Lepisosteus oculatus: one gene and its partners. The protein of the gene in region 1 interacts with the protein of each later gene in a pairwise test. Links are inferred from orthologs where the notes say so. Each region holds a gene or a part of one and is shown in the gene's direction. Other genes may lie near its edges. The genes, in order: lmo3, G patch domain-containing protein 2-like, fblim1 and pelo.

Evidence for each region.
Region 2: the proteins of lmo3 (region 1) and G patch domain-containing protein 2-like interact in binary tests that used the Homo sapiens proteins (3 or more experiments, as listed by UniProt). The link is inferred for Lepisosteus oculatus from reciprocal best matches to the Homo sapiens genes LMO3 and GPATCH2L.
Region 3: the proteins of lmo3 (region 1) and fblim1 interact in binary tests that used the Homo sapiens proteins (3 or more experiments, as listed by UniProt). The two-hybrid records come from large-scale screens. The link is inferred for Lepisosteus oculatus from reciprocal best matches to the Homo sapiens genes LMO3 and FBLIM1.
Region 4: the proteins of lmo3 (region 1) and pelo interact in binary tests that used the Homo sapiens proteins (3 or more experiments, as listed by UniProt). The link is inferred for Lepisosteus oculatus from reciprocal best matches to the Homo sapiens genes LMO3 and PELO.

Annotation. Positions count from the first base shown.
Region 1 is NC_090702.1:24,869,430-24,877,005, reverse strand, and holds the start of lmo3 (LIM domain only protein 3), read left to right. Parts: upstream 1-4,255; 5' UTR 4,256-4,264; coding exon 4,265-4,358; intron 4,359-7,337; exon of another isoform or gene 7,338-7,359; intron 7,360-7,388; exon of another isoform or gene 7,389-7,451; intron 7,452-7,576.
Region 2 is NC_090703.1:8,763,708-8,772,074, forward strand, and holds the start of G patch domain-containing protein 2-like, read left to right. Parts: upstream 1-5,017; 5' UTR 5,018-5,075; intron 5,076-6,331; 5' UTR 6,332-6,350; coding exon 6,351-7,015; intron 7,016-8,367.
Region 3 is NC_090720.1:298,083-305,970, reverse strand, and holds the start of fblim1 (filamin-binding LIM protein 1), read left to right. Parts: upstream 1-4,586; 5' UTR 4,587-6,717; intron 6,718-7,888. Other genes in the region: tmem82 (transmembrane protein 82), read left to right, coding at 681-771, 854-926, 2,400-2,577, 2,844-3,255, 3,331-3,518, 3,680-3,790. UniProt on the Homo sapiens protein: Serves as an anchoring site for cell-ECM adhesion proteins and filamin-containing actin filaments. Is implicated in cell shape modulation (spreading) and motility.
Region 4 is NC_090699.1:1,371,607-1,379,218, forward strand, and holds the start of pelo (protein pelota homolog), read left to right. Parts: upstream 1-4,392; 5' UTR 4,393-4,576; intron 4,577-6,323; 5' UTR 6,324-6,508; coding exon 6,509-6,549; intron 6,550-7,612. UniProt on the Homo sapiens protein: Component of the Pelota-HBS1L complex, a complex that recognizes stalled ribosomes and triggers the No-Go Decay (NGD) pathway.

The DNA of each region.
Region 1 (7,576 bases):
AAAGAAACTCAGTGTCAGATGTGAAATCTGTGGAAATTACATGCACAAAGCTAAAAATCAGTGTCTTCTTCACTGATCTTTCACGTGAAAACCTTCAAAAGTCCTTAAGAATTAACAGAACACTGCACATAACTGATTCATTAACTGAGTCATCCCTCCATCATGGTAAAGATATATTCATCGTTTTTTTTTTTCTATAAATTAGCTTTATTCAGCGTTCTACTTAAGGTATTTTATGACCATTTAAAATGATTTCTACAATTCCGATTTTAATTGCCAAATGTCAAAGCCCTTACCCCAGCTTTGCATGAAAAACAACTGCCTAACAAAGTAAAAAGATATGTCGCGAATAACACAGGTCCCTCTGTGGACTTTATAGTTCTATGTAGATTTAGAGTTTGCATGCGTCCAAGTTTTACAAGTAGGAGGTTATTTGTTAACTTCATACCTAAACCAAAGCGACACGATGGCTTCCCGGTTTTCGCAGTTCCTCTCTCGCTACTTCAGGCACCTGGGCTTCCTTCCAGACTAGGCCCCTTCTGTATGGAGTCTGTATGTTCCGCCCGTGTTTTTTTGAGTGTTTCGAGAAGGGGAAATTAAGATAGTCCTTCAAACGTTTTACAGGTAATGGAGATATTGGTATGTGAATTTAATGGATGGCATTTACGTAAAAAGGCTTTAATTTTCCTCCCAAACTATTTTTTTAATGATTTTGTACAGTATATACAGAATGCAGGACTGAACATAGAGGTCGCTTATAGGAAAACTGCAGCGTGATTAAAAAAATAAAAATATTTAATGACATACAAACATGCAATGCTAATGTTAGGAGCTAATGCGTATCTTTATTGCCCTCTACGGTTACAATCCCATTTTTTTTTATAAATGGAATAAAGAGGGGAAAAAGTAGAAAAGTTTTTCTATTTAACTTACTCATAATAACTCAATGCTCCAAAGGAGAAGGCCATGTGGTAGGGGAAACTATCGGCGTCAGTTCCTTGTAAAGATGCTGCCTCTGAAAACTGCATCCCTAGAAAGGCGGTTTGCTCCGTATTACTTGCTATTGTTTGACCAGTTTGCGCAGCAGTATGTCTTCTTCCCCACTATTGCTTCCTTTCTAAGCGTTCTGTCTTGTTTTCGGATTATCTGTAAGCACACGGTAATGTCTCCACGACGTGAGAAATTGCTGCTTCACTGCGGTGCTAGCAGAGAACTGTACATCGCTGGCTTAGTGTATTTGATACGTGTTGGCACGTGTGTGGCTGTGTGTGCGCGCTCTGGTTCCTCGGTCTTGCAGCAATAACTGAATGACCTTTTCTTGCTGTGTTATGTCTCGCTGGTGAGGGATTGGACTCGTAGGTGATAAAGCTAGGGTTCTCTGTGCTCCATCCCTCAGTCACTGATGGGTAAGTTGTTCTGAGCCCCTCAGTATACTACACGGGAGCTCAGCGGCGGATGTAAAGAGAACACCTGTAGCTCTGTTGCCTAACACTGCAATTAACTGCTTGCGGATCCATGCGGACCTCATTATTTTAAACTTAAAGATCTCAGATACGTCTCGGGCAATGCTTGCTTTATGAACTTTAGCTCTGAAGGGAGAAAGGTTGAAACTGCGCTACTGTGCCTGTTTTTAACTGAGTCCTTTTGCATTACTTGGCGAAGAAGGTGAGTAAAGTGCAGCTGCACAAAATGGATTGACGTGTACCGTAGTTCAGTACAAGTATGTTAGAACATTTTGAGACCCTCTTTTTTAAATATAGGGTGCCTGTGGAAGTTATGCATGCTTAATACAGAAATGATATTTAACTTAATTCATTGGGTTAAGGTGGAAAAAAGGCACCCATTCACTTTTTTAACAAAAACACTTTAAACGCGTGCCTTCACCAATGATGTTGTGTTAGCGCTGTGCATTTTAAAACCTTATTTGTGGATTTAGTGAAGTTTTGTGTATAAATAGATTATTTTCTTTATAGAAAGGAACACTTGTTGGATTTGCAACCACGCATTTACTGTACCAGGGTTTGCGTTACTCATTTGAAGTGCCTTTTCTAAGCAGAAACATACTGTAAATGCCGTGATGTAGATGAAAACATCACGATTGTAGATGGAAACTAGAATATGCTGAAACTTTGCTCTATGTGTAGAATAATTCAAGAATAAGGTAAGAGGTAAAGAACAGTAAGGAGCTGTTAACTAACAATCGAAAGTTTTTAAACAGTTTAAACATTGGTTTCAAACCCTCTCGGAAAACGCTTTGAATACGAACATTTTAGATATGACTCATGCCACTTAAAATCATGTTTTAAAAATAATAGCTTGTTTTATAATGTATAAAATGTCCCCATATCCCACCGTTACTGTCAGCAGCATCATTTAACGAGGACAATTGTTGATGATGTTCTTTATGCAATTCGTTACGGCTTTTATCTCCGTGTTTTAATTTACACGATGTTTACAATCCGCGTTACCCACTGTGGATAGGGTATACTGAAGTGGATATGAATGAGAGACAGTTCACGTACACACTGATATTTAGGATATGTTCCAAGTAAATACCCGGATAAAGGGAAAGAGATTTGCAGGATGAAAAGACGTTTTGTTTAAGGTATAATTGTTTTAGGCTTTAAAACTGCGCTAAACAAAAACATATATCGCATATCTCAGTTCTACGCAGTGCACTTGTCTGTGTCCAGTTGGGTTAACGGCGCTAAAGATACTTTCGCCGGTGTGCATCAGGCGTTAACTTTCCACCTGCAACAGACAAGGAAACGTCGGTTTAAAACTACAATGTGTTTTGTTGATATTATGTGCTAAGGCTGTTGATTGAAGCCATTCCGTGGTATTTGATTAAATTCATTATACAAGGCACTGAAACTGGCTAACATTCGCAAGTAAAGCATGAGGGGATTATAAGATTACGGCGCCGTTAAAGGGGTAAGCATGTGCTTTTGTCATCCGCTGTCATTTGCTCACTACCACTCGTATAGCAGCGGCTGCAAGACTTCCTTTTCATAATCGAGTATTGATGTGACAAACGTTGGCTACGTTTAGCAGGCGATAGTGGATAGCAGGTCTTTCCTTATTTTCCTGTTTATTTTATTTTTTGTCTGGAGCGAGGGTCTCACTTTGAACAATAGCAAGCCACCCTCAGCGTGCAAGCATACAGCTGCTCAGTTCATCCAAAGAAACGAAGCGTTTTTTTTGTCTCTCGAGTTGCATGGTGGTTGGGGTGCTGAAGTCAAATGCAGAAAAGGGAGAAAAGTTTCGGTAAGGATTTTTCGCTGTGCTGTGACTTATTCTTTTTCTTTAGCTTTCTGAGTGTTCACCTTGTCTTGTTTTATTTTAGGAACGTGTGTTGTGTAGGAATCGATGGTGTGAGCAGACCCGTGATCTGAAGTATTCCATAGCTTTGGGATGAGGGGTGTTTTTTCCGTTTATCTTCAATATTGTTCTCGGAGGCTTTAATTGCTTTCAAGAACGTTGGCTGGTGCCAATTATTCTGGCAGGTTTAATGGATAGCTTCAAAATGTTCCCGCTGAATGCTGTAGATAAAGAGGACGTTTAGCACCAAAGACTAAGCACATTAACTCAGAAAGTGATTTTTTTGGTCTTGTTTTGTTGTGCATGCAAGCTGCATCGAAAATTGGGTTCGCTGTTGCAAATCTCTTATTGGCCTTTGCCAAGCACTAGCACTTTGCTACCATGGCAACTGTAATTAAACTGATAAGAGTGGAAAAATGTCAGTATCGCCGAGTCTTGCAGCTGCAAAGGGGAGAAAAGGAGAATCAAATCGGGTCTCAGCTCCATGGCATGCAGTCGTCACGTAGTTTATATATATATTCCGTAAAATGGTATGAGCTCAATTTATAAGGGTTCGGACATCTATTTGTATGAGGTACCCTGAGGGAGTTTGAGTAACATCGGAAAACAGGCAAGGGAGTTCACAGAGAACCTGCGGGGTTGCTCTGGGCGAACGCACAGGGAAAGAAAAAAAATCTTTTAGGCCCAATCCAGCTTTATTTTCCTAAATCTTTTGTTCACTGTTGCTTGGCAATTGGAAAATCGAAGTGGCGAAATTCCTTTCATCTGGATCACTAGACTCCTGGCAGCCTGTTTTCTTAATTTAATAATGAACGAAATTTAGAAAAAGAAAGCTTCTGATTTTTAAGGCAGTGGTTCAGCGCATTATACAAGCTGTCCCAACGCGTCTAAATCTGATTGCAGGCTGAGAAGAGTTGAAACTCTTACTACTTTTCGTTTGTTAATGAGTTGCGGTTACTTTGTTGTGTTAACCAGTGAAGCTGAGACTGCGCGGATGAGTGCCACAGAACAAGGATGCATAATGGAAGCAATCAACCGTACGTGTTTCTTACAATACAATCCAGCCAATTAAAAGCTCACCAGTTTAAATGAAATGAAATAAAATGGGTGTCTGCTCATTACTGCAAACAGAATGACCCTTCAAGCTATTTTATGTATGCCCTAGCTGCTTTTTTCTATTAAATAAAGGGTCTATATAAGATTTCTATCAAATACTGAATTACGGCCACGTTAAAAAAAATGCATTGTTCCAAGGCTGTTAAAACGAGTTTTCAGGACTTTGAAATAACCTCTCGGAAAGGTTGTACTGTCTTTAAACATGATTCTGGACTGTTCTATTTTTTTCCACAAAGATTGCAGCTTCTGTAAAAATGTTTTTCTGCTAAGCAGGATATTAATACAAATATTCCTTTTTTAACATTCAGTTTATCATTTATTAATGCAGCCCAAGACTGTTAACGCACACATACAACTTTCCATGCGTTAGTACTGTATATTGCTGTTAAAAAGTCAAAATCTTTGTGACCGTTGATATTTATGTCTTGTGTTGAGCGTAAAGCGAATAATGGATTCCAGCATAGGTCAATGAAGTTCGCTGTTTAGGTCGGTTACATATTTTCCGTTAGTGGTTACTTGGGAAATAAATGTGTGGTACAGTATATGCTGTATGATTTTCCATACAGTCCTTGTAATGTCCATAGTAAGAAAGTATTAAGCGACCCGTACACATGCCGTTTGAAAAGCGTTGCAGACAACGTTGGCTAGTGTGTTTTAATAATGTGTTAATCGAAGAGATAAAAATAAAACACAATCCACAATATTCAAATGAGAACTCTCCACAGTGAAGCATAAGCCCCTTGTGCCTGGTAAGATACATGTTTCAGTTTTTTATGCAGTGCTTATCCTTCACCGGCCTGAACAGTTAACTGTTCCCTGTCATATATTCCCTTTTCCTCATATATACCACTTGCTCTTAAAATAATTAACAAACAAGAGGAAACTGACTAATTCTGTAGTTTTCCCCCCTTTTATGTTATGAGTGATTCATTATTTTACAGAACTGAGATATTTAAAACAAATCCACATGCAGTAATAGCCTGTTATCCCATTACAGACAGTAGAACCAGAGTTTTCACTGTGGTCATGTTAGTTGACTATTTAAAGATTAAACGTAGCCTTTTTCTGTCTTTGACCATATGCTGTTTTCAAGGCATAGCTGATACTGTAATTCTGTCTCAAACTGCATGTAAGAAGACCCATCAATTTAAGAATGCAATCCTTCCCTTTTCGGTTTTCATAATACTAACTCAATAATTTATAATAAGTTATAGTTCTTGATGATGTAAAAACAAATATAATACAGACACCACATGTGTTCCACATGAAGTCCAACAGTCAGGAAATTAATCAAATAAGCAAGCAAAGAAGCAATCTGTAATTTAAAGGGCACAATGGGAGGTAATCGAGTATAAAATGAATAATGGATTCAGTTATAGGTCAGTAAAGGCCTGTATTGCTGGTGTTGTGTACATTTGCAGTTAAGCCTATGGTTTAGCAGTTTCTGTCAATATCGCACTTTACTCAATCACATTCATTTTCATGTTAAAGAAACAGAGTTGTGTTTGTGCAACACCAAATTAGTATCACACTACATAATTGTGTTGTTGTGGCAGCAATACTGTAAAATAAACAATAACTAAATGTTACATTCTGCTAATTGTGTATGATACACAAATGCTGCTCTGTGATATTACAATTAAATTTTAGTAGTACTGATGTACTGTACAGTGTATAAATCTCTTATTTGCTATTTTGGGACGGATCTTTCAGTGTTTGGATGTATTCAGTTCCAAATGTCCAATAACTTTCAGAATGATTAAGTTAGACACAGTATTATGAAACTTTATTGGTTCTTAACACATGTTCATGGTGGTGGAACTAAAAATGTTTTCATGCAGTTATTCCCTTTTTTTCTTTAGTTTATAAACCAGATCTGGAGACATGCTGTTTTAAGTGTACACGATTCTTCAAACAGGATGCACTGGATTCTGAATTCTTGCACCTCTCCTTAAATATTGGGCACTCATGATTAATTTGGGATTTGGGATTGGGTCACTTTTAAACTACTAAATATCAGTTTGGTGCGTAGTGCACGTTTACAACAGTATTGCTATTTTTTGTTATTTGATTTTAATCTTAACACACTGTAGAACACAAACCTGAATCTAATGTAATCCTTTTACAGTTTTTCTTAGTTTTGTTTTCTTGTTACTTAACTATAATGTTATATTAAGGTTCTTGATTGCCATTTCATACACAGTCCTCTAAAATGTAGCTGTTGTGCAGACTAGTTAATAGCCCCATACCTCCTGGAGTTGAAAATGGCCACAATGGAATGTAAGAACTTTGCAGGGCATTTGCAGAATTGTGAATACTGTTGCAAATGAGCACATTACCAGCTAAAACTGAATTTGCTGTGCTTTGATCTTTAACAGTTTTCAGTATATCTTTCGAGATGTTTTCTGCTTTATCACTGTCGTAATTTCATAATCAGGGTTACCATATATGAAAAACAATCTAGGATAATAAGTCCAAAGAGCTACAGAGAAAAATAACGTTTTCGAAGTCACCTATTTTTAATGTATCTGGAGGTTTTTTTTTTCTCTGTCAAATTCTAAGTAAACAAGTTTTTACTTCAGTCAGTGTCCCCAATCGTTTTGCAATCAAACAGTGCAGGTTCCTATATACAGAATGAGTGCCTGCAGAGTTGGAATTGTTTATGTTAGGAAGTCCTGCAAAAATTCATTTAACATTACTGAGCTACGGCTCACTAAAATGTATCTTCAGATTCAAAAGAAGACAAAACACAAATGATGGTGTGTAGGAGTTGTATACTCCCTAAGCATGGCTGGAGCATACTAATTACTCTGTCCAGGAGTCCACATTGTTACCTCAATATAGCTCTTTCATATCACTCTTGGGTTAGTGGATACACATGATGGTGACTGCGGAATCTTTTCAGCCTTCTCCCAGTGGAAGGTAAAATTGAGGATTTTTAGTTGCGAAAGACAGCTTTGATTGTAATAATCAATGATGTAGGAAAAAGAAGACTAGATATCACTAGTATAAAGGTAAGAAAATCAATAGTGATGTTGATTTTGTTTTTGCATTTTTATGCAGTTAATGAAGATAAAAGTTACGGAATAGGATTTAGAATCTATCTTCACAGCAGATATGTGTAATTGTTTTAAACTTC
Region 2 (8,367 bases), on another chromosome or scaffold:
TATTTGTTAGTAGTATTCAATCCAAATGAAAAGAAAATGATTTTATTGTAAGAGTATGGAAAACTAGGGATGCTCAGTAGCCCCTGTCAGCCTTCCCCTGTCCTTGAAGGCTACAGATTGCATCCCTTTTTTAAGCCCATGTTGGGGGTTTCAAACTCAAAATGAAGGGTTAATATATAAGGTATAAAGCATTGATTTCCAGTCCACTGAGTTTAATAAAGCTATTCTTTACCGGTGAGGTAAGGTGAGAAAAAGCTTTAAGGTTAGTATGAACACTACTGTGTATCTATAGATCCTTTATTAGCATTATAGAGAAGCTCAGTTTACGGTTAATAGTTCTATGAAATTCTTATTTTTTAAATTTTATTCTGAAATTATATCCAAGCGTACAGTGTCGTGATAAGCAGGCTGAGTGGAACAGTGGTTAACGTAAAAGGTGTATTACTAGTAGGTTTGTGCTGAACTACTGACTCACTTTGTGTTAAATAAGTCTTGAGCAACTTATTTAACCTATTTCAGCTCCATCCTTTAGACAGGATGTAAAACCTAGAACTCGCATTGAATGTCTCTGCAGCAATAGCTGTTGATAGATATCTCACCCCCTGGACTCTGTAAATCTATTTTGGTAAAAGTGTGAGTTAGAAAACATTATTATTATTATTTACAGCTATTATTATAACTTCTTTATTCCATGAAGTGGGATTGCTGTATATCTTAAGAACTTCAGATATCTTGCAGTACTTGTGCCAGGGTTGTCAGATTTCCCCCTATTGCTACAGACGAGCTTTCAAGATGCAACTGAAAATCACCAGATGGAAAAAAAAAAGACTAGCTTATTAAACCAGCAACAAGCCTGGCACATTTATTACTGTATAAAAGTTATGCAAGGTCATTCAAGGAGTCACGTTAAACAATGCACAATCGCAGGTTTCTGTTGGATTCTGTAACCAAGTCTTTAGCGATCATTATTACCATACAAATAGACAGATCTATTTAACAACCTTTTCTTTATCACAGAACACTTATTCTTTAGCAATGCACTGGCATTGAAATGTGCCTTTTTTGTGTGTCAGAGGGTTGATAAAGGCAGGGAGCAATAGAAGGAGCAGAACTGACATCTTCTTAAAAGATGATAGCAGAGCCAAATCAAATAGGATGGAAAGTCATTCTCGTTCTGCAGATAGGTAGCTCATTTCTGGTGTCTGTGAGTTTGCATCCCCTGTGACTCTCTGCCTAGGAAAGATAGCTCTTGGACTTCATTAATTATTTTCTCTTCTTCGTCTTAATGTTAATGTTATTTTTAATGAGACTCTTATTTTTCCTTTTCGATGAAAATCTTTATATTTTGGTTCTCAAAGCATAATGTGTAATGGCATTTTTTTTTTCATGAGCCTGCAAGAATTGAAAATCAATTATTTGCGTTGTAAGACAAAACGTTGGATTGCAAATGAACTGCAGGTACTGTATTCTGATACAATGGCAGGTTGGTTGGTTAAGATAAAGGAGGTTTGTTATTTTCTATTTTGTAAGATAAGAGCCAACGTGTGGTTTGGGTGATATTGCCATTTTTAACTTTCCTTAAGATATTCCTTTCTTCTTTAATTCCTACTTTATGCCTTTAAGCAGTTTGCTTTCTGGTAAGCAGGAATGCTTTTATAAAATTAGGACAACTCAAACAGATATTGCATTGATGAAATCTAACTGGTAAACACTTTTTTTTCATCTGTATGTTTGTCTTTTCATTTATGAAAATCTGTTTGTTCTGCCCTGCCAAGCAATAGCGTGACTTGCTTTCACAGAAATCACCCAGTTACACTTGAACGACGCTTCTCGTGTCTGTAAGACTCGGATTTACTTACATTACGGAGAATGTCATTGCCCTTTCCAATTGTAAGTAAAAGCCAGGAGGAAATCCTCTTGATTTTAATGCAAAGCTTTGGCCAAAGAGATCCTACAGTAGTTATCTCTAAAGTGCCGAAAGTTGGACAGCTCTTCTTTCACATCAGAAGTGTACTCATTAAAGGAGGAGGAATCAGAATTATACAAGTGGCTTTTATCACTGAAGGATCGTATTGGCCTCTGACACACCAACATGTCTGCATCCTAGCTGGCTTGCATTATGCTAATTAATGTAGCTGGAGGTGAAAATTTTGCAAGAGAAGTCTTGATAACTGTCATTAACGGAGGATTAGACAGATGTTGATGCATTGTTCCCCTTTGAAGGGATTATTTACACTTCTCAATTACTAAGGCCCAGATGTCTGACGGAAAATAACCTCCATCAAAATTTAAAAACGTGGACTCCAATTTTCTAATTCCTAGAGATTTTCTAATTAATCTTTCTTCATAATTAGGAACATGAACTAATTGCCTGGCACTGTCATAGAGGGTGGTTTAGATCCAATGACTAGTAACATTGCTTCCATTGCAATTTCTCATTTTGCTTAATGTCCTATTAATGTGACATGCTGCTGGCTTTAGTTATTTTTACAGGTGTTCTACCCTTTCATATCAGATCTTGCAGTGTTATTTCCCCTTTACAGCATTTTACAACACACAGTACTGTATATACTGGAAACATCCTCCTCAGTTACATGTGCACTGGAAATAACCTTACAGAGCATTTTTTACATTTCCCTGTTATTGTCAAAATCATGCTGCATTTCATACTAAATTCTCCATTCTTATTCTTTTTGCAGGAATAGAAAGTATCTCTTGATTTTGCAAACTTGAACCTCTTAACTTCAATATCCTTCAGGACCAGACTTTATATTTGAACGTTCTGGTTACTATGGGGCTCCTGATTAAGGATTTACATGCCTGACTTCAAAATCCCATTCTCACTGGTTCCAGAAACTTATTGCAAATGCAGGAAACGAGAGCCCACGTGACGTCTTTGATATTAGACTTCCAACTTAAGAACTACTTGAAGAGCACTTTGCTATCGTGTCCTGTGCATCCTTAACAAATCCCTCGGAAAAGTATTTATAAAAATTAACTTCTCTTGCTGAGGACTCATTGAAAGGAAGAATTACACGAAAGATAAAACACTTTATCGTCAGTGAAAGACCGGACAATGCAAATCAAGAACTGGGGGAGATGGGAGAAACAATGAATATTAAGTGCTTTGGAATCTAAAGCTATCCTGCCAGCAAATTGAAACTGTATATCCTGGGGGGAAAAGGCTCCAAATTGCTAATTATTGCCTCTGAAAAGGGCTGTTTCTGATATGTTTGCTTCTGAAAGGCCAGCGCTTAATGAAGCAGTGCTGCCTTTTTTCTCTCTGCTGCTTTCAATTCCCTCTCTGGACTCCCTCCCATGCCTTGAACAATGAGGGCCTGGGAGCAGCCCGCTCCCACAGGCCTTGGCAGGAGTAGGCCAGGGGCAGCATTCTGAGGGAGCCACAGAGCGCCGTGAAATATGGAGGGAAAAGATAAGGTGGTGGCAGCAGAGAGAGCCCCTTTCCCAGGGGCCAAGGGGGAAATTTGCAGTTATTAAGAGGAAGATGAGAGAGATTAAAAGCCTTTGTGCTCATTTCGCTGGCCTTTTATTGTGCGGCTTCATCTCTAAGATGAAAGGAGTTATAAATGACTTTTTCTCAATTCTGCTAGAAGCTGGTTCATGGCAAAGTTTCATTTATATGTTTCAATATAAATTCTGTATATTGGTGGCGCGCTGACTGCTATGCGTACACTCACATAGTTCAATTTGTGTTTGCGGGTGTGGACTTCACGATGGCGAGTTGTTTCGAAGTTTAGGATTTTAGAACTAGGACATTGTTTCAACAGACAACAGGTGAGCAGCAGCCTGTGAACTTAGATTGTTCCAGAGACAAGAAGAGAAATTGCCTCTTTAGAAAGACCCAACGGTATTAACTAGCGGGCTGATAAATGCTAGGGGACAATCCCAGACCACCGATTGCAGGCGTCTTCGAAGTAATGTCAGCATTGGCAACGACATGGTCACATGTTTTTATTCATTTGATACTCACTTGATTGCCAGTCAGGAGCAGTAACCGTATCGTCCGTGCCTGAGTGTTAAATTGTTTTTTTTAAATATACATTTTTGTCACTGTTTCTGTTCTGTTCCCGCAGCGGAAAATAAACTGTATCAAAATGCCAACATAATTCAGCAAATAAAAGAGCGCGACATGTCTCACTGCATTACTATGTCGGCATCTCCTGTAGGTCTGGAAGAGGAATCCCGGAGCAACTCTGAGTCTGAAGTATTATTAACAGTCAGGAAAAAATGGGTTATTCTTTTTTGTACCTAGTCCGAATTTGAGCCAATCAGGATGATATCGCTTGGTGTGGAAAGCTGAGAAGGACTGCGTATTTTTCAGAATCACCAACATTGTTTTGGTCCAGGAACTGTCACTTCTGTTAATGAGGTCCGTATAAGAGGAACCGTAAATTTTTAATAATAATGTTCACTTTCTAATCATATTCTTCCTACTTACCCAATAGCTGTATATTTCAAAGGAAATGAAAATAAATATTGGCTCTACAATGCACAATGGATAACTTTGTGCTTTTTAATTCCCAAATCCGAAATGAAATCTTTAATGAATGTAATAGCTTTATCATTAAATACAGCGTTAGAAATCGGTGTTTAAGATTAGAACAATACATAACCTAACCACCATAAATATGCGTTGATTAATTCTATATATGAATGAGCTCCGGCGAAGAGCGGTGATAACCGATTTTGCTTAATGAGAGCTTACTAAAATGTTCAGGTAAACCTCAAGTTTTTACCTAGACCTCGCTCTGCTGTAGTTTTAAGTTTCGTGACGAGACACGAAAAGACAAGACTTTTTTTGCTTTAGGTTATTATGTGTAAATGCAGTCAGTCATCAATCTAAGCGTATTTTTTAAAATACATAAAACATGATCCGATTTCAGTGCTCTTTCATCACGCTGCGTTTGAAGAAAAGTTGGTTAGATATCGGATTTCTGCAGGGCGAAACTGCCTGCCTTATTCGGGGCGGAAATACGTAGCTAGCTTCTCCTGCGGGGCGGAAGTACGTTCGAGGTATTTAGCTGCGAAAACAAAACAGGCAGGAACTGCGGCTGGTGAGTTTTGTATAACAACAGTACCATACCGAGGAAGAAAGATTTAATGCTGATTTCCGAAACGGCACATATAGCTTTAAGCGTTAATAAGTGGTTTGTAATATGCGACTTATCCTGTCGAAGCTCTGACACTATGTTTGTAACGAAAGGTAGTATACATGCCTGCTAAGGTCTGGACTAATAGGCATGTTAAATAGGCAACCAGAAACCTGAACAAAAAAAACCTGATATGACCAAAAAGAACAATTAATAAAACGGAGGAGACGAATCTCAATATGTTGTGCTTTTACTTAGACAGACCTGCAACGTTGAAGCCCCGTTTTCCAAGCGTGCCTGTTTTATCAGAATGCTCAATTCTTTAATACTCAAATTTTGCTACCCTTTGCGACGTAAAAATGGAGCAGAATTGAGTGCATGAAAGGCACGTGTGCTTGTACATGAAGAACCTCCGCGTTTTGCCACCGACCATCTGACATATTTGTCGAAATTGGCAGCGGACTCCGCATTGTCCTCGGTTTGACTCTTGTAAACACTGAAGGTATTTTCGAGGATGCGCGATGACGTCAGTGAAGTCGGAGCCAGCAGCACTGTTAAAACTGCAGGTTTTGCGCTTTGCAGTGAACACTGCCCTGACTGCGAGGAATCCAACAAGTGAAATTAAACGCTTGCAAGCTGCATTCAGAAGGGTGTTAAATGACTCACTTAATCAGTATTGACTCAGTACAGTATGGAGCGGTATAAGTCATTGCAAACAGTTTTGCACACAAGTGATTTGATTTGGGTTTGGGCCCAAATTCACAAAGAAGCATACGGATCTTTCCTTTCACCTTACAGCATATTACACCAAATGATTGCTGTGAATTGCGTTGTGCTGTTTAGAAGCGAACACAAGGCGTTTCTAAGCATACATGAAAAGTGGATAGATTGTAGAATTGGATTTTAAGATGTACAGGCTGTAAATGCATAGTACCCAGGTGTCCAGAGCACAGATATAATATCAATTCACTCTCTCTGTAGAAATATTACAGAAACTCTCCTAGTTTCCCATTTTGCATAATTACCCAGCGTAACCTATTGCTACCTGCCTGATTGAATTTAATTAAGGTGGTCTCTTGGCGTTTCTTTGGTGATGCAGTTTCAGAGCAAACCTAGATTAGACTGCAGCATGTGTGATGTAAGTCACTCTTGATACTAGAGACCCCCGCTCTCCTCTTTCCGTCTTTTCGTGATCCGCGCTGTGTTGTTTCCGTTGCCAGAGGGGGTGGCCGCGCTGTGATGGACGAGCTGGTGCACGACCTGGCGTCTGCGCTGGAGCAGACCTCGGAGCAGACCAAGCTGGAGGAGCTGTGGGAGGAGATGGTGCTGAGCCCCCTGCAGCAGAGGCGGCAGATCCGCCGGCGGCGTGGCCGGAAGCGGCGCTGCGACTCCTCCCACTCCCTGGAGCACGCGCGCTGCTTCAGCGAGGCCTCCGAGTCCAGCCTGGACGAGGCCGCCAAGGACTGCCGCGAGAGCGCCAGCGCCAACGCCAACGCCGCCAACTTCAGCGACTCCGACGACATGATCGTGGCCAAGAGGCGGCCCTCCTTCTCCTCCTCCCTGAAGAGCAAGCAGCACTCCTGGCCCGAGTCGGACTCCTTCACCGAGAACACGCCAGGGCGACCCCTGAGGAGGCGGCGCAAGGTCAAGCGCATGACCTCGGACGTGACGGTCAGCCTCCAGGAGAAGCTCAAGGTGTCCGAGCTGGACAGCGAGAGGGCGGGCAGCCACAAGCTGGCCAAAAAGCAGCGCCTCTCGAAGGTGAAGAAGAGTGCCTGCCCCTGGGCTGGGGGCTCCGAGCCGGTGGGCAGCAGTGGGCTCGTCCACCAGGAAGGCTGGAAGGAGAAGATGATGTTTGAGTCTGAGGAGCAGAAGGAAGCCTCTGATGAAAACATGTCCGAATGGTAATGTTCCCTTCAGGACCCTCTGTGGTTCAGCCCAGCCATAATGTCGGTGAAAACGAATCTCACACCTAAAACGTAGTTGAGTGTAGGGTAACGAGACCAGTAGTTGAATAAGGACTAGGTCATAAATCTGATTTTTCTCTACAAACTATCAACAAGCTGTTATCTTTTTCTGACTACGTACATACTCTGGAGCCCCAAAGCAGATTCTGATACTTGCGTTTTTCTCTCTTCAGTCTGTCACACTTAATCAACAGACAGCGTAGTGGTGCATGCCTGCCTCAAATATGTGGCCCAACAGTGACATGCCATGCATCATCAGTATATGAAATACATTCATTCCTCTGTCAATTAATTTGTAACTGTACACTCTGGAAATGAACTGCATTGTGCATTCACAAGGAATTGATTTCTTGCACAGTATGATATAAAAGGAACACAGATTATGACAGTTGGGCAGGCAATAACATAGGGAGCTTTTTGAAACCATGTTGAGAGATAATTTCTCAGGTTTTCCTTTAATATATAATATGCACAATTTAAAACAGGGCTAATCATGATACATAGCGGTACCAATGTTAGAATAGTGGAACAATCAAAAGAATTATATATTGTTTCACACAGGTTTTCTGTTTCGGAGAATATGATATAGTAGAGTATAACTTTGGAGCAGTTTGTTTAGGTTCCAGTTAAACCTAATGACTTTTCTTGTAAGTTCATATAATGGATATTTTTTCATTTAATGTGTATAATATATGTGTCAAAATGTTCCATAAAATAAGTTATATTGACAAGTCTGAATTCAAACTCAATTTTCGTACATCCTAGATAATTAACAATTTCCGCTCTATTCCCTGAATGCTTTAGCTGCCCATCTGTTCCTGACATACTTCCTAGCCAGTGCAGGGTAGTTCCCATATGTTCCATGTAGACGTGGTGTAGAAATACACTTGTCCTTGCACCCAGCACTTTTTTTTTTACATCTAGCTTCCTCGTTTCTTTTGTGAAATGTTCAGATGCCAGTGGTGTGCACTGACGTGCATCTGCCTAGAACTAGTAGGGTTTTCCCTCTGGGGAGCTTTCCAGAGCAAAATAACCACCAGAAAACCCACAAAGATATCCTCCCATTCAGCCTGGGTGTCTGAGGAAAATAATGTAGGTGTAGTTTGTTGTGGTTCTAAAGAGAAATAAGTGAGCTACTTAATTGACTCCATCTTTTGTAATAATGTAGTAAGTTACAAAATCATGAGCAGTTCTGAGAAAACATTTTAGCATTTAATGGGGGGGCTCCTTGGGAGTGTGGGACAACATTGTGCATCTTCAGACACCAAGGAAATGAAAGGGGTGTCATT
Region 3 (7,888 bases), on another chromosome or scaffold:
TCCCCACACACCAGCTCTCAGTGAGGAGAGCAGAGATCTCACTGGAGTGTTATAAAATGTTAAGGGTACGAGCTAAACTGTAACAGACGCTTGAACTCGGCAGACGGGGTCACTGGAGGTCAAAGTCGCCGTGCGTGGTCACGTGATCACCGGGATAACAAGGCGCTGTATCTCGGGGACGGAAGCAGCACAAACGCTACTTTCAACGACATCAACCGGCACGACCGCAGCACTGACGAATAAGGTGGGTTTCATCGTTTGTGCTGTCTGCAGGGGGGGCAGCCTCACGGGCCTATCTCAGAGATGTGGAGTCGACTGATTAAAATCAGAGCAGATTCGGACAGCGGCTGTACACACTATCACCCACAAGGCGGCGCTGTTGATCCTGTTTCGGTATAAACTTTTTATCAGGCGACGCTAAAGATACAATTTATTCTTGTGATACTGTTTTTATACCGTTTGCTGTGGGAATTGCATTCATTGTATTTCACAAGCAGTGATTTTTTTGGTTTCACTATACGTCGTCCGTGCGTTCGCCGGCGGCTCCATCGATCTGATTGATTAGTTTCTCGCCCGAAACGAGGCTCTCTGTCGCTCGCGGGCGGGCGGTGACCTTTGAAACCCCGGCGCGCACGCCGGCTGCCATTTCTCTCCGCCCGGCGCCGTGTGTCGCGGCAGGAATGCTGTCCGTCCTGCGGTCCTGGCTGCCCGCTCTCCCCGGCGTGTCGTGGCTGTCGCCCGGCACCGCCACGCTAGACTCGCTGCTGCAGGGTAAGAGCCCGCCCCCCCGGGGTCCGGCCGCCGCTCACTTCCGCCTGGCCCGCGACCCACCGGCGTGTCTGTTTCCCGACAGGGCTGGTGGGCGCGTGCGGGATCTCGGTGCTGTGTAACCTGCTGCGCGTGCACGCGTTCATCAAAGGCTTCAGGTGAGTCGCCTGTCCAGAGCTGGACGCGCCTGCAGTGACCCCTGGAAGGGTCATCGCGTCTGAAGGGCCACATCGTCATCGGCTTGACCAGAGTGTGAGACTGTCCAGGGTGTGGTGCTCCAGTGTACTGAGAGCTGGACCGGAGAATCAGCAGTACTGTAAACACTGAGAGTTATTCAAGTAGCACTGCAGTGACACTGCTGTGTGCGGGGTGACAGTGTGTCTGTAGTTCACTGCAGTAGCTCTTCTCTGTGTGCAGGGTGACAGTGTGTCTGTAGTTCACTGCAGTGACACTGCTGTGTGCGGGGTGACAGTGTGTCTGTAGTTCACTGCAGTAGCTCTGCTCTGTGTGCGGGGTGACAGTGTGTCTGTAGTTCACTGCAGTGACACTGCTGTGTGCGGGGTGACAGTGTGTCTGTAGTTCACTGCAGTAGCTCTGCTCTGTGTGCGGGGTGACAGTGTGTCTGTAGTTCACTGCAGTAGCTCTCTGCTCTGTGTGCGGGGTGACAGTGTGTCTGTAGTTCACTGCAGTGACTCTGCTCTGTGTGCAGGGTGACTGTGTGTCTAGTTCACTGCAGTAACTCTGCTCTGTGTGCGGGGTGACAGTGTGTCTGTAGTTCACTGCAGTAGCTCTGCTCTGTGTGCAGGGTGACAGTGTGTCTGTAGTTCACTGCAGTAGCTCTCTGCTCTGTGTGCAGGGTGACAGTGTGTCTGTAGTTCACTGCAGTTGCTCTCTGCTCTGTGTGCAGGGTGACAGTGTGTCTGTAGTTCACTGCAGTAGCTCTCTGCTCTGTGTGCAGGGTGACAGTGTGTCAGTAGTTCACTGCAGTAACTCTGCTCTGTGTGCAGAGTGACAGTGTGTCTAGTTCACTGCAGTGACTCTGCTCTGTGTGCAGAGTGACAGTGTGTCTGTAGTTCACTGCAGTGACTCTGCTCTTTGTGCAGGGTGACAGTGTGTCTGTAGTTCACTGCAGTAACTCTGCTCTGTGTGCAGAGTGACAGTGTGTCTGTAGTTCACTGCAGTAGCTCTCTGCTCTGTGTGCAGAGTGACAGTGTGTCTGTAGTTCACTGCAGTGACTCTGCTCTGTGTGCAGGGTGACAGTGTGTCTGTAGTTCACTGCAGTAGCTCTCTGCTCTGTGTGCAGGGTGACAGTGTGTCTGTAGTTCACTGCAGTAGCTCTCTGCTCTGTGTGCAGGGTGACAGTGTGTCTGTAGTTCACTGCAGTAGCTCTCTGCTCTGTGTGCAGGGTGACAGTGTCTGTAGTTCACTGCAGTAGCTCTCTGCTCTGTGTGCAGGGTGACAGTGTGTCTGTAGTTCACTGCAGTAGCTCTCTGCTCTGTGTGCAGGGTGACAGTGTGTCTGCAGGATCACTCAGTCCTGCAGTAACCTGCTGCTGTTGCCAGAGCCCTGCAGCTGGTAAAACCTGGACTGGATCAGACTGCTCTTCACTGGGAGTCTCTGTGCTTTTGCAGTGACCCGGGCCGGGCCAGTGGAGACCGGGTGCAGTTGCACAGGAGAGGCGGGTTTATGGAGGCGGTCCAGCTGTGGGTTTTGACGGCGGTGCTGGGAGTGGTGGGTTCCAGGGTCGCTGCGCTGGTGGTGCTGGAGTTCTCACTGCGGGCCGTTTCTGCAAGACTGATGGCAGTGCCGGTGAGCCACACACACTGAACACTGGTCCTCTGAGACTGACACTGAACACTGGTCCGCTGAGACTGACCGGTGAGACTGACACTGAACGCTGACACTGAACTCTGGCCTGCTGAACACAGGCACTCTGAACACTGACGAGCTAAACAGTGACACCAAACACTGGCACAATGCTTGACGCTCTGCTGTATGCAAAGCAGCTGATTGAATTCAGTCTAATAAAGAGCAGAACTGTAAGACTCATTGCAGTGCCACCTCTCTGCCTGCAGGAGGCCCTCCACAGCAGCCAGCTACTGGTGCAGTGCCAGTTCTCCCTGGGCTGTGCGCTGACCTGCAGCCTCAGCTTCCTCCAGGAGGGGGCGCCGCAGAGCACCCTGAGCCTGGCGCTGAGCGCAGGGCTGGCAGGGCTGCTGTGCTGGCACACGAGGTCGCTGTGGGGGCACGTGGGCACGATGTACAAGCTGCACAGCTCCCAGCGGTACTGCGGGGTGTGCGTCGCGCTTCTGACCTGGTCCCACGCCATCCCGGGCCTGCTGCGCCGCGCCCTCGCCCTGGCCTTCCTGGTGGCGGCCGTTGCCGCCTTGTCCCTGATCAACCGCGACTTCCTGTCCGCGGCCGACGCCCTGAGGTTCTGGACTCCCCTGACGATCTGCTACACCTTGCTGGTCATCTACATGCAAGGTGAGGGGGGGGGCGGCCGGGGGGGGGGTGTGCGCTTCTGGGTCTTTTACTGACCGTCTCTCCCCTCCCCCTCAGAGGAGCAGCAGCACCGCCCTGGTGGCCAGGCTGTGTTCCAGACCGTGGTGGTGCGACTCGGGGGGCTGCTGGTCCTGATGCTGACGGTCGGTCGCTGGGGCGACGTGCTGCACATCCTGGTGTGCTTCCTGGGGGAGGGGTGCTGCCTGCTGCGGGCCTGGGACCTGCTGACAGCCCACCAGACACAGGTCCGCCCCCCCGCACCCCTGTTCCCTGAGCTCCCCCTCCCCGGCCTCCCGGCTCACACTCCCCCCGGGCAGGACCGCAGGCTCCGGCCTGGCGCGGCGCAAGGGCGCATCGTCACCAGCGGTATGGCGGCGGGAGGTTCACCCCCTGTTTCTGTCTGCAGGAGGCTGAGCTCGGCCCCACCAGGGGCTCCCCAGGGCCCAGGAAGGAGGGCGTCTGCTTGAGAGGCTGTCCTGAGGTCGCCCAGGCCAGCAGAAAAGATAAGGACCTGTAGCGGCCCTGAGGAGACTGCCTGAGCTGAGCCCTGCTGGCTCCCAGTCTACCAACATTGAGCACACCCGCTGGGACCAAGAGACTTGAGCCTTTAGGCGGAGACTTTTCTATCTTGTTTAATTCATGTACTTAAACTTTATACACCTTCACGCCAGCAGAAAGCACTGTTGCAGCAGGGAGAGAAGGGAGAGGAGAGGGAGGGAAAAAGATAGAGAAAGTCATACATTGAGATAACTGGAGATGGAGTAAAGGAACGAAGACTGCCCCCTGCTGGCTGAACGGCATACAGGCAGTGTGCTGGTTTTTTACAGTGCAGTAGCAAGAGCTGCCACCAGAGGTCCAGATCGACATTTTCTCTGGACCTTGAGACCGCTGCTCACAAGCCAGCACATCCAGTATTTTACACTTCAGATCAATCCTCCTCAAATTATTTCAGTTTAAATTGTGTACATATTATTTGGACAATGATCAGGGTGCTGTTGCTTTTGTTGGTGTGTCAGTCTGGCATCTGTCTGTAAGTCGGTCAGAGTCAGATTGGCTCTCTCTTCGTCTCCCTCTCTTCCTCGGTGTCTGTCTGTGTGCGTCTTACTGTCCCCTAACTCCCCACTGACTGTCTGTTCTCACAGTGTTCCCACTGTTCCAGGACTGTTTTCACCCTGCATGGAGTTTGGTGTAATAAATAATATGAGAATGAAAGTTAGAGGGAAGCTGCCCACAGATACAGAAATACAAATGTGAGCGTGTGTGTGCGTGTGTGTGCGTGCGTGTGTGTGCGTGTGTGTATGTGTGTGTATGTGTGTATGTGTGTTTGCACAGACTCTTTTGCAAGAGCTCTGCCCTCTGAGCCCTTATCACCCCTGCCCTGTTCTTTGCTGATTGTATCTGTAGGGAGTCACTTCTGTTGTTTTTCAAAGGTGGAGATAAATTCCTTTGTTGCATGTGGCAGTTAAAATGAATAATTACTGCTGCTGTCTCTAAAGACACTGTCCCTGCCTCTAGAGACACCATCACTGCTGCTGTCTCTAGAGACACTGTCCCTGCCTCTAGAGACACTGTCACTGCTGCTGTCTCTAGAGACATTGTCCCTGCCTCTAGCGAATATTTGGTTTGGAAGTAGTGGGGCTGATGGGGATGGTGCTCAGGTCCTGCACTCTCACACGGTTGTTCTGAGAGAGGTGTGAGCACTCTCACTGACCAGGCGCTCGTCAGACCCTGCGGACTCGCAGGCCTGGCTCATGCTGATGGACCACAGTGTGATATACTGACAGCTTGCAGCCTGGGACAGAGGGGGTGTCACTGTGACCCCAGGAGCAGGAGGTCTGCGAAGTTTGCCGAATCTGCGCAGCTCTGCTGAGTTGGTGCAGTTTGTCTGCGCAGCCCGGCAAAGATGTAAACGCACCAGTGGGACCTGAAGTGAGTCCAGTGCGAGGAGAGAGCTCACCAGCCCAGCGATTCACCTGGTTTCAGACAGGAGCCCAGAGCTGTCTGCTGCCCTCCTAGAGCCTTGCTGTTTACACACTTTCCCAGCTGTGTGTGTGCGAGAGAGTGTGTGAGTTTCACTCAGTGTCCAGAAAGGACTCGGAAAGTCTCAGTGTTCCCCTCTGCTCTGGGCCGGGTCAGGCGCTGTCCTGCTGGGGCGGCTGGTTCAGTGGAGCAGTTGGAGGTCCGAACAAAACTCTGAAAGTCCCAAATGTAGAAGTGAAACTAGAGGTTTCTCTGTGCCGGAGAGAAGCTGCCTGGGAGTGTGGCTCCAGCTCAGCCGGGTGGGAGTTCCAGGCAGCGGAAGTCTGGGGGGGGGGCATGGGGCCCCCAGGGCATGACTGACAGCAGGACAGCGGGGTGGGCGGGGCTGACCTCTCGACCCTGTGGGCAGGAGGAGGGGCTGGCAGGGGTCTGGGTGATGTCATCACGGACAAGCCCCAGCAGCCCTGAACATTCCTCAGAGCCTGACTCCTGCCTCCACACCCCTCCCCCTCTCCCGCTCTGTCCCAGGCGTCTCCCTGCTCCTGCTCCTGTTTTCCCGGCTCCACACTCCCCTCCCTCTTTCTTTATGAACACCTCTTCTCAGTCCCTGTGCCAGAGTCATCGTGTGCTGTTAATCCGTGACGTTTAGGCCTTGTGCACGCTGCACACACTCCCAGCCTCGTCTGCGTGTCACAGATTCGCCGAACAGCTGGGTGTACGCGCTGCACACACTGAACACCAGATGTGGATATACTGCATAAACACACTGAACACCAGGTCTCCATATACTTAATACATTTGCAGACTAAGCACCAGGTGTGTTTATGAACTGTACACTGAACGCCAGGTGTTCACAGGCTGTGTACCATATAGACACTCTGAACACCTGGTACGCTGTTGATTGGCGTATACCTGCTGCACCCTGGGGTGTCCTGTTCAGGTCTGGGGCCAGCAGCAGCTCCAGCTGGGAGGCAGGGAGAGGAGAGTCTGGGAGAAGGGGGGCGGGGGCTGTCCGTGGGCAGGTATCTACTCACATCCTGCTCCCCCGCAGGAGGAGGAGACAGAAAGAGAAAGAGAAAGAGGGAGGGAAGCAGTGGGGGTGAGGCTGTGCGTCAGTTTCGTGGAGCTCAGGCTCTGACTCAAGAACTGTTCACCTTTTCCGGCCGGAGCCGGAGCCGCAGAGGGGGAGGGAGGGCTGGAGGAAAGGGAGTGGCCTGACGGAGCTGCTCTCCAGGTCCTGGGACAGAGACCCGCCGTGCCGACACCCTGCCAGGACCGGGAGCACAGACACTGCGCGGGACCCCAGTCTGCCCAGCACAGACGCACAGCGAGAGCCAGGCTCATCTGCAGGCTCCCCCTGACGGCCCTGATAGCCTGGAGCTTCACTGCACAGTGCAGCCAAGACACTTCTCTGTCATCTGGAGCAAACTGAGGGGCTCATTACTGTAGACCCCTGGGGTACAGGTTAGTGCTGGATTCCCTGTCTTGCAGGGAGAACTGCTGTCTCTGTATCCCTTTGTCTCTGTGTCTCTGTATCCCAGTGTTTCTGTGTCCCCGTATCCCTGTATCCCCATAGCCCTGTGTCTCTGTATCCCTTTGTCTCTGTGTCTCTGTATCCCAGTGTTTCTGTGTCTCCGTATCCCTGTATCCGCATATCCCTGTGTCTCTGTGTCTCTGTATCCCTTTGCCTCTGTGTCTCCGTATCCCTGTATCCCCATATCCCTGTGTCTCTGGGTCTCTATCCCCATATCCCTGTGTCTCTGTATCCCTTTGTCTCTGTGTCTGTTATCTGTGTGTCTGGGTTACTGGTCTCTGTGTCTGAATAAATAAAGTATTCTATCATTGTTTCTGAACTCTGGCTATGCTATGATTACTAGACTCCCTTGTCTCCCATGAATGAAGCTACTCAGGAAACATGCTGTGTCGGCAGCACCTCTCCACCTTCTCAATAACCGATCACACCTGAAGAAGGCTCTACAGCCGAAACATTGTGTTTCCTTTCTTTTCTTTTCAGCAGGGAATAAAACCCGTTACCCGTTCCTTTGTAGCCTGTGCATGCTGACGGATCTCCCTACTTGATCTATGTGTAAATAATGTTGATCAGCTATCAATAATGCTGTGGTCAGTAGTTTCCTGTTCAGATAGGGCTACAAACTTGTTGCTCCCAACACAAGAAAGTACAAGGAGGGCTAGTTAGTGTGGGACAATTTTAATCTTTTTTGCAAAATGACTTCAATGATTCATGAACTGTTCACAGAACTACAGTGCTGCTCAGACCTCTCCTCCCAGTGTGGATCTGTGTCTATGGTAAGTGTGTTCCAGGGGTGAGCTGGCATCTGGCTTGGTGCCTGGCCAGTGTCTGCCAGCTGCAGTCAGCAGCCCAAGGTCACAGCAGCTGTGATACATCTGTCAGTCACAATCTGTACACATCTGGACTGCAGATATTAGTATGGTGTATAACCATTGTAGTGTAGACCCTCAACTGGCTGGACTGTAAACACTGAGAGCTGGACAGGAGACACAGCTGGACTGTAAACACTGAGAGCTGAACAGGAGACACAGCTGCACAGTAAACACTGAGTGTTGGACAGGAGACACAGCTGCACTGTAAACACTGAGAACTGAACAGGAGACA
Region 4 (7,612 bases), on another chromosome or scaffold:
GCGTCCTGCTCGTCATACTGCACACTGAACACAGGCGTCCTGCTCGTCGTACTGCACACTGAACAGACCGGCGTCCTGCTCGTCGTACTGCACACTGAACACAGGGGTCCTGCTCGTCGTACTGCACACTGAACACAGGCGTCCTGCTCGTCGTACTGCACACTGAACAGACCGGCGTCCTGCTCGTCGTACTGCACACTGAACACAGGGGTCCTGCTCGTCGTACTGCACACTGAACAGACAGGCATCCTGCTCGTCGTACTTCACACTGAACACAGGCGTCGTACTTCACACTGAACAGACAGGCGTCCTGCTCGTCGTACTTCACACTGAACAGACAGGCGTCCTGCTAGTCGTACTTCACACTGAACACAGGCGTCCTGCTCGTTGTACTGCACACTGAACAGACAGGAGTCCTGCTAGTCGTACTTCACACTGAACACAGGCGTCGTACTTCACACTGAACACAGGCGTCCTGCTAGTCGTACTGCACACTGAACAGACAGGCGTCGTACTTCACACTGAACAGACAGGCGTCGTACTTCACACTGAACAGACCGGCGTCCTGCTCGTCGTACTGCACACTGAACACAGGCGTCCTGCTCGTCGTACTGCACACTGAACAGACAGGCGTCCTGCTAGTCGTACTTCACACTGAACACAGGCGTCGTACTTCACACTGAACAGACAGGTGTCGTACTTCACACTGAACAGACCGGCGTCCTGCTCGTCATACTGCACACTGAACACAGGCGTCCTGCTCGTCGTACTGCACACTGAACAGACCGGCGTCCTGCTCGTCGTACTGCACACTGAACACAGGCGTCCTGCTCGTCGTACTGCACACTGAACAGACAGGCATCCTGCTCGTCGTACTTCACACTGAACACAGGCGTCGTACTTCACACTGAACAGACAGGCGTCCTGCTCGTCGTACTTCACACTGAACAGACAGGCGTCCTGCTAGTCGTACTTCACACTGAACACAGGCGTCCTGCTCGTTGTACTGCACACTGAACAGACAGGCGTCCTGCTAGTCGTACTTCACACTGAACACAGGCGTCGTACTTCACACTGAACACAGGCGTCCTGCTAGTCGTACTGCACACTGAACAGACAGGCGTCGTACTTCACACTGAACAGACAGGTGTCGTACTTCACACTGAACAGACCGGCGTCCTGCTCGTCGTACTGCACACTGAACACAGGGGTCCTGCTCGTCATACTGCACACTGAACACAGGGGTCCTGCTCGTCGTACTGCACACTGAACACAGGCGTCCTGCTCGTCATACTGCACACTGAACACAGGCGTCCTGCTCGTCGTACTGCACACTGAACACAGGCGTCCTGCTCGTCGTACTGCACACTGAACACAGGCGTCCTGCTCGTCGTACTGCACACTGAACACAGGCGTCGTACTTCACACTGAACAGACAGGCGTCCTGCTCGTCGTACTTCACACTGAACAGACAGGCGTCCTGCTAGTCGTACTTCACACTGAACACAGGCGTCGTACTTCACACTGAACACAGGCGTCCTGCTAGTCGTACTGCACACTGAACAGACAGGCGTCGTACTTCACACTGAACAGACAGGCGTCGTACTTCACACTGAACAGACCGGCGTCCTGCTCGTCATACTGCACACTGAACACAGGCGTCGTACTTCACACTGAACACAGGCGTCCTGCTCGTCGTACTGCACACTGAACACAGGCGTCCTGCTCGTCGTACTGCACACTGAACACAGGGGTCCTGCTCGTCGTACTGCACACTGAACACAGGCGTCCTGCTCGTCGTACTGCACACTGAACACAGGCGTCCTGCTCGTCGTACTGCACACTGAACACAGGCGTCCTACTCGTCGTACTGCATACTGAACAGACAGGCGTCCTGCTAGTCGTACTGCACACTGAACACAGGCGTCCTGCTCGTCGTACTGCACACTGAACACAGCTGTCCTGCTCGTCGTACTGCACACTGAACAGACAGGAGTCTTGCTCATTGAAGAAAGAAAGCCAGAAGAAAGCCAGACCTCAGGGAAACAGGTACAAATTCACACTGAACAACAACACATTGGAGCACACATCCAGCTACACATATCTCGGTCTCACCATCAGCTCTTCCGGGAGTTTTGACCTGGCAGTGAAGGCACTGAGGGAGAAGGCACTCAGGGCTTTCTACGCAATAAGAAGGAGGCTCTTCAACATCAACCCACCAACAAGAATCTGGCTCCAAATATTTCAAAGTGTAATCCAACCCATTGCCCTATACGGCAGTGAAGTGTGGGGTCCCTCACAGACCAGGAGTACACTCAATGGGACAAACACCCCACAGAAACTCTGCACATGGAAATCTGTAGAAACATCCTCCGTGTGCAGAGAAAAACTCCTAACAACGGGTGCAGGGCCGAATTAGGCCAGTACCCACTATTGATAAACATACAGAAAAGAATATTAAAGTATTGGCTACACCTAAAAAACAGCGACCAAAATTCCTACCACCACAAAGCCCTTCTGAGCGAAGAGCTGAGCCCAAAACAGAGCCCCCTGAGCCAGCTGGTCCTGAGGCTCACCGACCTGAGCCACACCAACACTAACCAGCCTCAGGACAGCACTGCTAGAGCACCACAGCCCAGACTCAACCACATCACAGCACAGATCAAACAGCAATATCTCACACACTGGGACACACACACACAAACACAACATCAACTGGAATGCTACAGAACCCTAAACAGACAATACACACTAGCTGAATATTTGACCAAAATAAGAAACAACAAACAGAAACAGACCCTGACGAAGTACAGGCTCAGTGACCACAGCCTGGACACACACACAGGACACAGGCAGACCTGGCTGTCCAGAGAGGACAGGCTCAGTGACCACAGCCTGGACACACACACTGGACACAGGCAGACCTGGCTGTCCAGAGAGGACAGGCTCAGTGACCACAGCCTGGCGATAGAAACTGGGCGACACAGGCAGACCTGGCTGTCCAGAGAGGACAGACTCAATGACCACAGCCTGGAAACACACATTGGACACAGGCAGACCTGGCTGTCCAGAGAGGACAGGCTCAGTGACCACAGCCTGGACACACACACTGGACACAGGCAGACCTGGCTGTCCAGAGAGGACAGGCTCAGTGACCACAGCCTGGACACACACACTGGACACAGGCAGACCTGGCTGTCCAGAGAGGACAGGCTCAGTGACCACAGCCTGGCCATAGAAACTGGACACAGGCAGACCTAGCTGTCCAGAGAGGACAGGCTCAGTGACCACAGCCTGGACACACACACTGGACACAGGCCGACCTGGCTGTCCAGAGAGGACAGGTGATCTCCTGTCCCAGCCTGAGGAACAGACAGTGAGCCTGCCTCTCAATAATAATAATACAGTGTGTGATCTCCTGTCCCAGCCTGAGGAGCAGACAGTGAGCCCGTCTCTCAATAATAATAATACAGTGTGTGATCTCCTGTCCCAGCCTGAGGAACAGACAGTGAGCCCGTCTCTCAATAATAATAATACAGTGTGTGATCTGCTGTCCCAGTCTGAGGAACAGACAGTGAGCCTGTCTCTCAATAATATTAATACAGTGTGTGATCTCCTGTCCCAGCCTGGAGGAGCTCTTTTCCACTGGGACCTGTGTGTGTGTGTGTGTGTGTGTGTGTTACAGTAGGAATTATAAACTCATACTCCATTTCAGTATTCTTTCATTTGGATTGATTTCCAGCTCATATATCTGGCTCGATAAGCTGACTGTGGAACTGAAAGCCTCACTGTTCCTTCACATCTCATTGAGGAGTCTGACGGAGTATTATAGAACTTTATTGGGAAGAATAAACCTCATTCTGTTAGAAAACACCTTCTGAGTAAACCTAAACATCAAGGTGGCATGAATGTTATAGACTTTATGTCAAATATAACATTTAAAACTAAGTGGATTAGGAAATATATTAATAACAAATGAAATATTTGGAATCTTATTCCAAACATAACTTTTCAGAATGTTGGGGATCTTGACTTTTTGTTAAAATGTAACTTTGATATTAAAAAAAAAATCCCAATTAAGTGATCTAATTTCCACAAGCTGGTATGATTATAATGGACTTTGTTATACAAACAGTTTTTCACCACACACATATCATATTTGGAAAGATAAAGACATTAAGGGTAAAAATAAAGCTTTTTTTACAGACTCGTTTAACAACACAATGTACAGTATGTCGTGGCTCAGCTGTTGAATGAAGACGGTGGTTGTTTACTCCTGAATTCCTGGACAGACTCCAGCTCGCTGTCGCCCTGAGGAACACGCGGTAGTTTCTAGTGCCATTCCGGAAGGCGCAGAGCGCTTGTTCAAAGCAAATCCCAGCGCGATCAGGACCGACTTCCTTTCTGGTCCGTTCACGGGGGGCGTGGGCATGGAGGATAAGAAATGGAATTATACGTGGAGAACGAATCTTTGTAAAACCCATCTAATCTCTCCTCGTTCATCTTTCTGGAATGCAGTGTGTGAAAATACAAACGAAGTTAGTTTGGACAACTCCTGGTCGATATTGTACTACAGGTCAAGTTAAAGAGATATCAGTTCTATCCAGTGAAATGAGCGCTCTCTGAGTGTGTGTCTGTGCAGGGGGACCTGTGTGTGTCTTGGGCTGACGGCGCTCTCTGAGTGTGTGTCTGTGCGGGGGGACCTGTGTGTGTCTTGGGCTGACGGCGCTCTCTGAGTGTGTGTCTGTGCAGGGGGACCTGTGTGTGTCTCGGGCTGACGGCGCTCTCTGAGTGTGTGTCTGTGCGGGGGGACCTGTGTGTGTCTCGGGCTGACGGCGCTCTCTGAGTGTGTGTCTGTGCGGGGGGACCTGTGTGTGTCTTGGGCTGACGGCGCTCTCTGAGTGTGTGTCTGTGCGGGGGGACCTGTGTGTGTCTTGGGCTGACGGCGCTCTCTGAGTGTGTGTCTGTGCGGGGGGACCTGTGTGTGTCTTGGGCTGACGGCGCTCTCTGAGTGTGTGTCTGTGCGGGGGGACCTGTGTGTGTCTTGGGCTGACGGCGCTCTCTGAGTGTGTGTCTGTGCGGGGGGACCTGTGTGTGTCTTGGGCTGACGGCGCTCTCTGAGTGTGTGTCTGTGCGGGGGGACCTGTGTGTGTCTTGGGCTGACGGCGCTCTCTGAGTGTGTGTCTGTGCGGGGGGACCTGTGTGTGTCTTGGGCTGACGGCGCTCTCTGAGTGTGTGTCTGTGCGGGGGGACCTGTGTGTGTCTTGGGCTGACGGCGCTCTCTGAGTGTGTGTCTGTGCGGGGGGACCTGTGTGTGTCTTGGGCTGACGGCGCTCTCTGAGTGTGTGTCTGTGCGGGGGGACCTGTGTGTGTCTTGGGCTGACGGCGCTCTCTGAGTGTGTGTCTGTGCGGGGGGACCTGTGTGTGTCTCGGGCTGACGGCGCTCTCTGAGTGTGTGTCTGTGCGGGGGGACCTGTGTGTGTCTTGGGCTGACGGCGCTCTCTGAGTGTGTGTCTGTGCGGGGGGACCTGTGTGTGTCTTGGGCTGACGGCGCTCTCTGAGTGTGTGTCTGTGCGGGGGGACCTGTGTGTGTCTTGGGCTGACGGCGCTCTCTGAGTGTGTGTCTGTGCGGGGGGACCTGTGTGTGTCTTGGGCTGACGGCGCTCTCTGAGTGTGTGTCTGTGCGGGGGGACCTGTGTGTGTCTTGGGCTGACGGCGCTCTCTGAGTGTGTGTCTGTGCGGGGGGACCTGTGTGTGTCTTGGGCTGACGGCGCTCTCTGAGTGTGTGTCTGTGCGGGGGGACCTGTGTGTGTCTTGGGCTGACGGCGCTCTCTGAGTGTGTGTCTGTGCAGGGGGACCTGTGTGTGTCTTGTCGGGCTGAATGGGGGGTCCTTGAAGCAGTTATTTATTTGTTAGGTGGAGGTTTGTCAAGTTCTTTTGGACGGACTTGCAGAGTTGTGTTTGCAGGCAGTTAAAGGTGTTTTTTAGATTTAAGTTTTTTTCTATTTTATTGTACTGCTTAATAGAAAATTTGGAAAAAGAGCATGTATTTATAGAATGGTCTAGTAATAATCCCCTTTTTAGTACTTTCGAGGTGGAGCTGAAACACTATTTAAATTCTATTAAAAATGTCAGAAATAATAAAGCACGGAAAACATATGTGTAAAAAAATACAGTTTGATCACATAAATTACTTCATGACCTCTGGCAGTTAAATGTTTTTTTCTGTTTGTTTTTTTTTCTCTCGTACCTGTTTCTGATCCTCTGGTTGTAGTTGTATTTGTAAATTCTTTATAAGTTTAATAATCATTTGTTTTAAAAAGAACCTGAAAACCGCTATCAGCTCCAGCAGCAGCGCTTGCCGGAAGTCGTCATCAAGCTGCGACGCGCTGCGTCTCCGAGCTGCGCCCGCGTCTTTCCGTGATGACGGACTGCACCTCTTCCGAAAGCTGGCGAAATAAATAAATAGACTCAAAGAAATTTAGTTGGATTTTAGAGCAGTTTGAAGATGAAGCTTCTAAGTAAAGACATTGAGAAAGACAATGCGGGGTAAGTCTATCGGGATAGAAACGTCTGGTCTTCGGTATAATTGTCTCGTAGTCATTCATTTAAACTCTGTTGTGTCATAAAACATGAGTGATTTACTCTCACTGTTAATGTACTGGAGTGCAGTGTTAATGTACTGGAGTGTCCAGTCAGTGTGTGTATTAACCCCTCTCTCTCTCAGTGCAGTGTTAATGTACTGGAGTGTCCAGTCAGTGTGTGTATTAACCCCTCTCTCTCTCAGTGCAGTGTTAATGTACTGGAGTGTCCAGTCAGTGTGTCTGTATTAACCCCTCTCTCTCTCTCAGTGCAGTGTTAATGTACTGGAGTGTCCAGTCAGTGTGTGTATTAACCCCTCTCTCTCTCAGTGCAGTGTTAATGTACTGGAGTGTCCAGTCAGTGTGTCTGTATTAACCCCTCTCTCTCTCAGTGCAGTGTTAATGTACTGGAGTGTCCAGTCAGTGTGTGTGTATTAACCCCTCTCTCTCTCAGTGCAGTGTTAATGTACTGGAGTGTCCAGTCAGTGTGTCTGTATGAACCCCCCTCTCTCTCGGTGCAGTGTTAATGTACTGGAGTGTCCAGTCAGTGTGTCTGTATTAACCCCTCTCTCCCTCTCAGTGCAGTGTTAATGTACTGGAGTGTCCAGTCAGTGTGTCTGTATTAACCCCTCTCTCTCTCAGTGCAGTGTTAATGTACTGGAGTGTCCAGTCAGTGTGTGTGTATGAACCCCTCTCTCTCAGTGCAGTGTTAATGTACTGGAGTGTCCAGTCAGTGTGTCTGTATTAACCCCTCTCTCTCAGTGCAGTGTTAATGTACTGGAGTGTCCAGTCAGTGTGTGTGTATTAACCCCCCTCTCTCTCTCAGTGCAGTGTTAATGTACTGGAGTGTCCAGTCAGTGTGTGTGTATTAACCCCCCTCTCTCTCTCTCAGTGCAGTGTTAATGTACTGGAGTGTCCAGTCAGTGTGTCTGTATTAACCCCTCTCTCTCTCAGTGCAGTGTTAATGTACTGGAGTGTCCAGTCAGTGTGTCTGTATGAACCCCTCTCTCTCTCAGTGCAGTGTTAATGTA